Linked DNA regions of Rattus norvegicus. The protein of the gene in region 1 purifies or fractionates together with the protein of each later gene. This does not show direct contact. Links are inferred from orthologs where the notes say so. Each region holds a gene or a part of one and is shown on either strand. Other genes may lie near its edges. The genes, in order: Git1 and Grk2.

Evidence for each region.
Region 2: the proteins of Git1 (region 1) and Grk2 purify together in Homo sapiens (affinity purification with western blotting; 4 studies listed by BioGRID and IntAct, with this or other methods). This does not show direct contact. The link is inferred for Rattus norvegicus from reciprocal best matches to the Homo sapiens genes GIT1 and GRK2.

What each region holds. Positions count from the first base shown.
Region 1 is NC_086028.1:62,838,724-62,843,202, forward strand, and holds the start of Git1 (ARF GTPase-activating protein GIT1), read left to right. Parts: upstream 1-1,670; 5' UTR 1,671-1,722; coding exon 1,723-1,774; intron 1,775-4,479. UniProt on the Homo sapiens protein: GTPase-activating protein for ADP ribosylation factor family members, including ARF1.
Region 2 is NC_086019.1:211,028,035-211,032,470, reverse strand, and holds the start of Grk2 (beta-adrenergic receptor kinase 1), read left to right. Parts: upstream 1-1,457; 5' UTR 1,458-1,592; coding exon 1,593-1,705; intron 1,706-4,436. UniProt on the Homo sapiens protein: Specifically phosphorylates the agonist-occupied form of the beta-adrenergic and closely related receptors, probably inducing a desensitization of them. Key regulator of LPAR1 signaling.

The DNA.
Region 1 (4,479 bases):
CCTCGACATTTAATAAATGAAATTCCATAGCTGGGGGTCGATCCGGGGTGAACGGGCGGCCACTGCTCCTGGGCTGCGCGCCCAGTTTTAGCTGCCAGACTGCTTCCCACCTTTAATGCTGGGGCCACCAAGCCTACAGACCTTTGGGTATGAGTGCAGCACGGGGTGGCATAACCATCACCCTTTGCTGTCAGAAGCCCCACCTGCTGAGCTGCTGACTGGGCGGGGGGGGGGGTGCAAGATTTTTTTTTAAGGTGAGATTATAAATATATCCTGTGGATCGCAATTTCAAACAAACTTGTCAATCTGGGTTGCAGCAAAAGGCGATGGAACTTAGCGTGTATTTTGGGTGGTGTGACTCATAAGCATTGCTTGTCTCCCCCTAGGGAAGGAGCCTGCCCACCCACAAGTCACTGCTGCTGTGCCACTGCTGGGAGAAATAGACCCACTCAGGCACCCCTATCCAAGGACTCCTCCCAAACCTCCGTTTTATTACTGAGCAGGAATCCCTGACACCGAGGGAACTTTCCCTTAACTATGTCACTACTGACCTGCCTCTCTCCCTATGACCTGCCCCCCCCACCTGGTGTTGTGTGTGTTTTTGCCCTCTCCATAAGCTGAGTGCTCTGACAGCCCTTTTGCGGCTGTAGGGGTGGGGGCTGGGCACAAACGGGTCACACGTGTATGGGGGAGCATGCTCAGTGCGGGGTGCACCCACGTACAGCATGCACTTCAGTTCCTACCCCCCCCCCTCCATGAGAAGTCCAAGGAAAAAGATCCTTATAGAAATTGGCCCCTGTGTGTTTTAAGCGTATGCTCAGGCTACATATACACCCGTTGGGCGGCCCAGAAACGTCGTTGATGCACATGAAACAGATAGCAAGTTAGAGCTGGTGCACACACCACAGTGGTCACTCTTAATAACCACCTAGACTCTTTGCTTTCCTATTTGAAACAAGAATGATGTATTTTTAGTCCCTCAGGGAGGGAGTCACACTTAAGTGACCTCTCGGGCACCTGGCCGTCCATATTGGTGGTAGTGAGTGCACTCCACAGGGCTATGGCCACAGACCCAAATGGACACTGACTTGGACACAGAGGGAACCAGAACACACACCTCACCCCAATCCAGCCTCTGACAGCTAGAAGTATTGTGCCTGGGGATGCTTCCTGTCCACCGCAATCCCCACCACGTCCGTCTCGCGGTTACTGGACCGAGAGTCCCCTGGACCACTCCCCAATCGGAAAGTGAAGGTCAAAGTGCTAGCGAGTGTCTCGGTTGCAGACCCTGCTGGAGCGGGCCGCGGCTCCTTTAAGAACCCCGGTCCACTCCCGCCTGCGCGCAGGCTTCCTTTCTCCGAGAGGCTCGGCCACAGAGCGAAGCGGAGCGCCGGGGCGGGGTGCGGGCCGCCCCTCCCCCGGTGGGCAGGGCTTTCGCTGCTTCCTGCAGGAGCGGCCTGGGCCGCGCAGGGGGCGGGGAGAGCGGAGAGCGGCGGCGGGGCGGCGCGGGGCGGCGCGGGGCGGAGGGCGCCCGAGGGCGAGCGGGCGGGCGGGCACGGCGGGTTCCGGGCCAGCCCCGGGGGCGGACGGTTGGCCGCGCGCGGAGCCTAGCCGGGGCCTTGCGGGAGCCGGGCCGGGCCGCAGGGCCGCCGCCGCCGCCCGGGCCCGCCGCCCGCGCCCCCCACGCTGGCCCAGAGGGCTGCGGCCGCTTCGCCGCTGAGGATGTCCCGGAAGGGGCCGCGAGCGGAGGTGTGTGCGGACTGCAGCGCCCCTGGTAAGCGGCGGGACCAGGCCGGGGGCGGGACCGCGCCGCAGGCCGCCGCCGCCGCCGCCGCCGCCGCCGGACGGGCGCCGAGGCCTGGCGGGAGCGCCGTGCGGGGCCGGAGGGCGGGGCGGGGGCCACTGCGGAGCGGCGTCCTTGGCGGGAGGGCCGGCTGCGGGGGGCGCTGTGCGTTGGAGCCGGTGGACATGGGGGGAACCGCCTCCCACCTCCATCTCGGCATCCAGACGGAAGCGCCAGCCTGGTGTGTCAGGAGGGCTGTGGCGGAGGCCGGCAGGCTGTGGGAGGTGGGCGCTAGTATGGTTTGTGTCATCCCTGCCACCCCCGCGTCTTGCACCTGCTGCTCACATGGTCCGCGTGCCCGCCGGAGCGGTAGAAGGCAAGGGGCCTGGATATGGGATCCTAGAGAGCACCTGACAGGGGTGGCTACTCTAGGACTCCAGCCCCGGCTTCCCAAGGCTGGGGCTCCTTGGAGGGCCCGGTGTTCAGGGACAATCTAAGCATGGGCATCTTCCCCGGAAGCATCTCCAGGCCTGCTAGTGGCTGGGAACATCTAGACTCAGCTTTTCCTGTTCCGGGTAGGCCTGTTGGAGAAGGTGTGCTAGGTATTGGCTCAGTCTAAACACTGATCCCTCCTGGTTTCTAGCTCATTGGCCAAGTGGTGAGGGGTGCTTAGGCTCCCCTTGTCCGGCTGACTCCTGAGGTGACTGGACTTACACACTGCTTCCTCCCTACTAACCAGCAGAGTCAGTCAGTCTGAGCTGGTATGAAACCCCCCTGGCTTGCTGAGGAAGTGAATGGAGGGCAGCAGTTCACCAGGCTGATCCCTTCTGTGGGAGGACACAGCAGGTGATGGGACTCAGCAGCTGGCTGGAAGCAGGAAGCTCTGGGCTTTGCCCATCCTCTATAAAAGAAGCAGTCTCTCCATACAGGCTTGGGGTCTTGTGGACTCTGGGCAGTGTAGATGTGATTAGGTGAGAGTGTGGAGTGCTGGTTTGTGGGCCCGTACCTTGTAGTCACCCCTTAAAATCCCAAGATCTGACTGTGAGCCCAAGGAATATGGTCCTGTAGTTCTTGTGGTCTACACTGGAGTGTTGGGAGTTGTGGGTAGCTGGCCATGAGCCATGAGCATGGGATATCTTGTAGATGACTGACTCCGAGACCTCCTTAGGATATGTCATGTTTTACAGACGGGTGTCCATACCCCTAGTTAGCTGGAAATGACCGCTCCCTTTCCCTGGCCAACATCAGGAAGGCCTTGATTCAGGTAGTGCCTTTGTTTCCAGCTTACGCTGTGAAGCTTTGCTCACTCTGGGATTTTGAGGACCCTTGCATTTCCCAGTCTGTGTTCTTGCTTCTGGAGCAGAGGCCTGAAAGATAGAGCAGCTATCTTTTTGTTGTCTGTGTCTGTCTGGCCAGAGCCTCTGGACACCCAGTCAGGGCTGGGAGGAACAGGGTGTGTTAGATGTTAGGCCACTGAGCTCATAGCCCCCATCCTCATGTGACCGGGGCAGGCCTGCCTGAGGACTCTCTTTTCTCCCTCTGATGCAGAACGCAGGTGACCAAGCTGAGGGGCAGAATGTTGGCATTCTCCCACCTTAGCGCCCAGCAACTACTCCCCAGGTACAAGTGCTGGTGTTTGTCAGGACTGCCCTATACCACACTGGGTCTGGCCGATCATGACATTCTTGATCTGAGCCTATAAGCATCCCAGATAAGAAGGCTTGGCATTCTCGTATTCCATGTATGTGATGTATGAGAAAATATAACTCATCTATTCATAGATCCCAGGATAGCCCAAAGTCACAGCGTCACTGTGATAGACCTCTGTATTGCCCAGGTATGGCAGCACGTGCCCTTAAACCCAGCACTTAAGAGGCAGAGTCAGGCAGATCCCCAGGCCAGCCAGGGCTATGTCGTGAGATCATGGGGTGGGGTCATGGAGTCTCTTGTAGTTTATTAACTCAAGAGTATAAGGGAGGTAAGAGGTGAGACCCACCCTTCAGAGACAGGTACGAATATGTTGCAAGGCCTCTGGACACAATGCACCTGCTGTGGCAGCTTGTGCCACCTCACCAGGTGCCATGCCCCTGCCTGCCTTGGAGTCTAGGACAGAACAGGAGTTGGGGTGCACTGAAGAATGTCAGTTATGGCTGGGGATTTAGCTCACTGGTAGAGCGCTTACCTAGGAAGCGCAAGGCCCTGGGTTCGGTCCCCAGCTCCGAAAAAAAAAAGAACCAAAAAAAAAAAAAAAAAAAAGAATGTCAGTTATCCCCTTTCTCTTCCTCTGCCCACTCTGCCTCATCGCCTTGGTCCCAAGCACTCTGACCCGGCTCCCAAGTGTTCACTTCCTAACCCTCAACCCACAGCCTTTAAGTCAGCCTTACACTTTGACAGACTGGGGTAAAGACCTCCAGATACCCAGCCTATAAGTGACCAGAGCTGGGGAGTATTCTGCAGGGTAATGTACACTCAGAAGTCTTCTTACAAGGACAAATGGGTAGACTTCTTGCTTTTGGGGAGGAGGGGTAGGGGTGGTTAGGCCGGTTCCTGATAAGTCTCTTCTATGTGGTCCTGGCTGTCTTGAAACTCACTTTGTAGACCAGGCTGGCCTTGTCTACAAAGACATCCACCTGCCTCTGCCTCCGCCATCTGAGTGTTGGGATTAAAGTTGTGCATGAGCACTGCCCAGCTGGCTT
Region 2 (4,436 bases), on another chromosome or scaffold:
CCAAAACCAGAAACAAAAACAAGACTTTTTATTCTTGGTAGCTCTGGGGGACTAGACTAAGCTGTTGTTTGGCCTTAAATGGACAGTAATCCCATCAGATCTAGATTTGAGGACAACCATTCTGTTCGGAGCCTGCATCAGAGGGCAGCGGTTATAGGAATCCTGAGAGATGGATAGGTCAGTGGTGACATAGGAGGGGGGGCATAGTGGCAGGTGGGGAAAAGCAGTCTGGGTTTAGACCTGGCTGTCTAGGGATGCCATCCACTGACACCCCTCCCCCCCAGATTTGTTTACACCTGAAGTAGTCAAGAAGTCAAGGGAGTGGGGGTGCTTATTTTGTTGGACATGAGTTGATAGGAGAATTAGTTTCTAAGTGTCCAAGACTGAAGTGGGAAGACTGGGTTGAAAGTGTCCTTGGAAAGCAAAGAGGTGCTCTAGCTTGAGACCAGGTCTCACTGTTTAGCCCTGGCTGGCTTTGGCTTTACAGAAATGCACCTGCTTTTGCCTCCCATGTGCTGGGCAGACAGAGTAGGAAGGAGTTGGCTAAGGAAGAAGGCACACAGGAGGGATCAGCGGGTAAAATGCTTGCCACCAAGCCTGAGGACCTTGAATTCTATCCCTAGAGACCTATGTGGTAAAAAGAAAGAACTGACTGTCAAATTGCCTGTCTTCGAACCTCCGTCTGGGCATACACAATAAACAAACAAACATATAAACAATAGGTTCGGCCCTCATCAGAGTATGGTTTGATGGACTATGCCTTTAATCCATTTCAGCCTTTGGGAGCAAGCAGATCTCTTGGGCAGCCTGCTCTACATAGTGAGTTACAGACTAGCCGAGGCTACACGGGTAAACCTCTCTAAAACAAGAACAACAACAAATGTTCGTGGTCAGGAGGGTGGCCCAAGATCTGAGTCTGGGGTCCTGTTGGGAGTTTGAAGTCCAGGATTGTCATCCAAGGTCTGCGGTCAGGTCAGGTCAGATGATGATCTTGAGAGAATGTTCAGAAATTTGAGTATGGGGTCTTGATCGGTGTCAGGATTCTTGTTATGATCCACGGTCTTGGGTAAAGGCCCGAGTAGGAGCGTGGAGTTTAGCATCCGGAGATGCGATCAAGTTAGTGGCCATGGCTTGGGGTCTTGGGTCGATCTGGTGCAAGACTCAGGTAACAACAGTCCAGGACTGAGACTCGTGTCCCGGACACGAGCGGTGCGGCCTCTAGGGGGTGCTGCGGTCCGCCCGCCCGCCCGCCGCCCGCCCGGCTCGGCCCCTCGGCGGCTCGCTGGCGCTGTGCGCGGCAGGCGGGGCCGGAGGCGGCGGCGGCAGCTCCGGGGCGCGGGCGGGCGGGTGGTGGTGGCGGCGGCGGCGGCGGCGGCGCCCCGACTGCAGTCCCGGCGGGAGCGGAGCGCGAGCCGGGCCGGGCCCGAGCCGGCGCCATGGGGCGGCGCCGCCTGTGAGCGGGCGACGAGCGAGGACCGGGCGGGGCGGCGGCGGCGCCGAGGCCGACAAGCCGCGCGGGCCGGGCCGGGCCGAGCGAGCGGGAGCGGAGCGGAGCCTCGGGCGGCGGGAGGAACAGCGCCGCCGCCGCCAAGATGGCCGACCTGGAGGCGGTGCTGGCCGATGTGAGCTACCTGATGGCCATGGAGAAGAGCAAGGCCACGCCGGCCGCGCGCGCCAGCAAGAAGATCCTGCTGCCAGAGCCCAGGTGAGCCCGCCTGTGCCGGGCCCCACGCGCCGCCCCGGGATACAGTGCCCCAGGGACCCCTCTCTCCGTCCTAGGTTCCGGGGACCCTCTGCCCCAGGACCCCACTATCCCGGCTGCCCCATGACCCAAGAACCCCTTCTACTCCGGGGACCTTCTGCCCCGGAGACCCCATTATCCTGGCCGCCCCAGGACTCAGAGACTTCCTCTGCCCCTGCCGCCGCAAGCTTGGTGTCTGTGAGCACAGAGCGCCCCAAGTCCAAGCTCCTAGCCGCGTTCCCCGGGCCGCCTTGCCGCTTCCTGTATCTCACTGCCGGGCCTGGTCGCTGTCAGCCCCAAGCTCTGCTGCAGCCTTCATTCCACCCTGATGCTTGGCTCTGCCCTCTACCCTCTGTGTCCTCTTGTGGTTCCCTTCCTCAAGTCTGCCTCTGTTTACCCGATTGTATCACACAGTCTGTTGCTCCTGCTCCCAGCACCCACTCACCCCCGTTGGTGTTCACTACCCTTATCCACTCCCCTTGGAGTGGGTAACACTCTTGTGAGGTTTGTGGAGTGAGGAGGACCACTCTGGAGACTTTTTTTTTCTTTTGCTTTCGCCTACGGTGGGGTCACTATGAGATTGGGTTTGGGAGTGTTTTCTGGGGACAGTGCAGTGTACCGTCCTTGAGGGCTGCGCTCGGGTGAGGGAAGTCCCTTCTTTACCCTTTTCCCCACATGTGGTTCCTTGTGGGTACTTTTGACCAGGGGACCTCCCATCCTACAGCAACTGGACGTGCTGCCACCTCTCTGCAAGACAACTGATGTCATCGCACCTGGTATCAAAGTTTAAACTGTCCAGGATGTGGGTGCAGAGTAGGGCAGGATGTGAGAGGTGTAGCTGGGGCTTGTCCAGTATACTATGGCAAATAGACTTATCTTCCCATGTGAACTGCTCAGGAGATCAGAGAGTGAGTGAGGCAGGTGTAGTTTTGTTCCCATAGAACAAGGTATGTGTGAGAGAGCTCAGACTTGGATGGCTTGTATAGTGTCACCTGGGTTATCCACAGTGGCACCTGGCCTCCACATCAGGGCTCTCAGCTTCTGGTTTTATGTTTCATCCTGACCTGAAGGGCCTGGATGTCCTGCATCTGGAAGAGATGTGTCCACCCACCAGGATGCCACATGGTGGGTGGTGAGGCCAGTCCCTCCAGTTTCTTATACCAACCCCTTTAGCAGCCAAGAACTGGCCCTGATTTTACTGCCATTCTATGTCATAGGACATGGGGCGAGTTTCCCCCCCACCCCCAGTGGGCAGTGTGAAATAGGCCTCTAGTGGCCTCAGTCCTTAGAGTGGGGTGGGCAGCTTGCAGGCTTGCTGCTGTGCCTCTCACTGGGCCCCTCCTCCAGTGGCTGCACACTGGGTTTCAGTTTGACTGAGAACGGTGCCCAGTAGAGGAAAAATTGGTCTGTGTTTTGAAGAGGCCGTTGGGCCCCCCTTTTTTCTAAGACATTTGCAATCAGATTTCTCAAAACAGGAACTAGACTGAGTGTCAGCTGGGGCTGTCTAGGGGCAGCAGCAGTTAGGATGGAAATGAGTTCAGAAATGACAAAACTTAGAGGGAAGAGTGGGGGAGGTGCAGTCAGCATCTAGGGTACTTGTTGAGCTCTCCTGGGTAGCCACAGCTGTGGGATTCTAATGCAGGTGGGAGGTCTGCAAAGTTTGAGGTGGTGCCTTTTCTAGAACTCTCCATGTCTGGATAGTCTTTCCCCAGAACGAATTGCTCTTAATGGATGCCCACCTCAGGTCGTCTCCCCTGCTGGTGTTCAAGAACCCTGACAGATGATGATCTGTACCTCTCTCTCTTTTTACCTTTTCATATGGCGGCAGCTATGATGTGATGCGATCAAACAAGAATGGAAAGTTTAATAATTCATTATTTATTTTGACATCTGTCATCTCAGTTGATCCAAAAACCAACATGTGAAATTGGCAAGGCCAACAGTTACCAGGATGGGGTGATTTCTGTGAGCAAAACTGAAGCTGGCTTGCAAGTTCTAGGGAACGACACCACAGGTGCAGGGTCACCATCAGTCGTACATTGTTGGGCCAACCGCTCAATCTGTGAATGGTTAGGAGCCTCTAATTCTGGTCACTGGTGTGCTCAGAAGAGTCGCCTTGCAGTAGCCATGGCCCTAGGCATGCATGCTCCCCCACCCCGCCCCCGCTCCCGTCCCCCCACCCCACCCCCGCCAGTGATGGAAAGAAAGCAGGTCCCCTTCATGGTGTACTTTGCGCACTCTCAAGGCAGAGATCTCTTGCCCTTGAAGGTGGTTACCATCATGTCTCAGGTGTGCCCAATATGTCCCAATGTGTGGAGTGTCTTGTCTTCACAACTCTGGGACTCTGGCTGGCCCAGCAGACTGCATTTCTCTCATTTACAACCGAGAGGCTTTGAGGCTTGTCACATAGAAGCTCTGGGATTGGATCACAGATCTCTGGAGTCCTGACCACAGTACTCTTCCTACCTGTGCTTTGTCTCTTCCTCCCAGTCCCGTAGAACTGCTTTGTGACCAGAATCTGAAGCCACTTGTCGTGGGAGCTTGTGGGTCTTGGGTAGTGGCCTGAAAGTAGCAGGGCAGTTTCTGGTATCATCAGTGGTTACAGTATACAGGACCCAAGCCCTTCGCCAGTTGCTGAAACAGAAACAGGCTGCCCTGGCAGAGCTAATGCACAGATAGAAGGACAATCCCATGC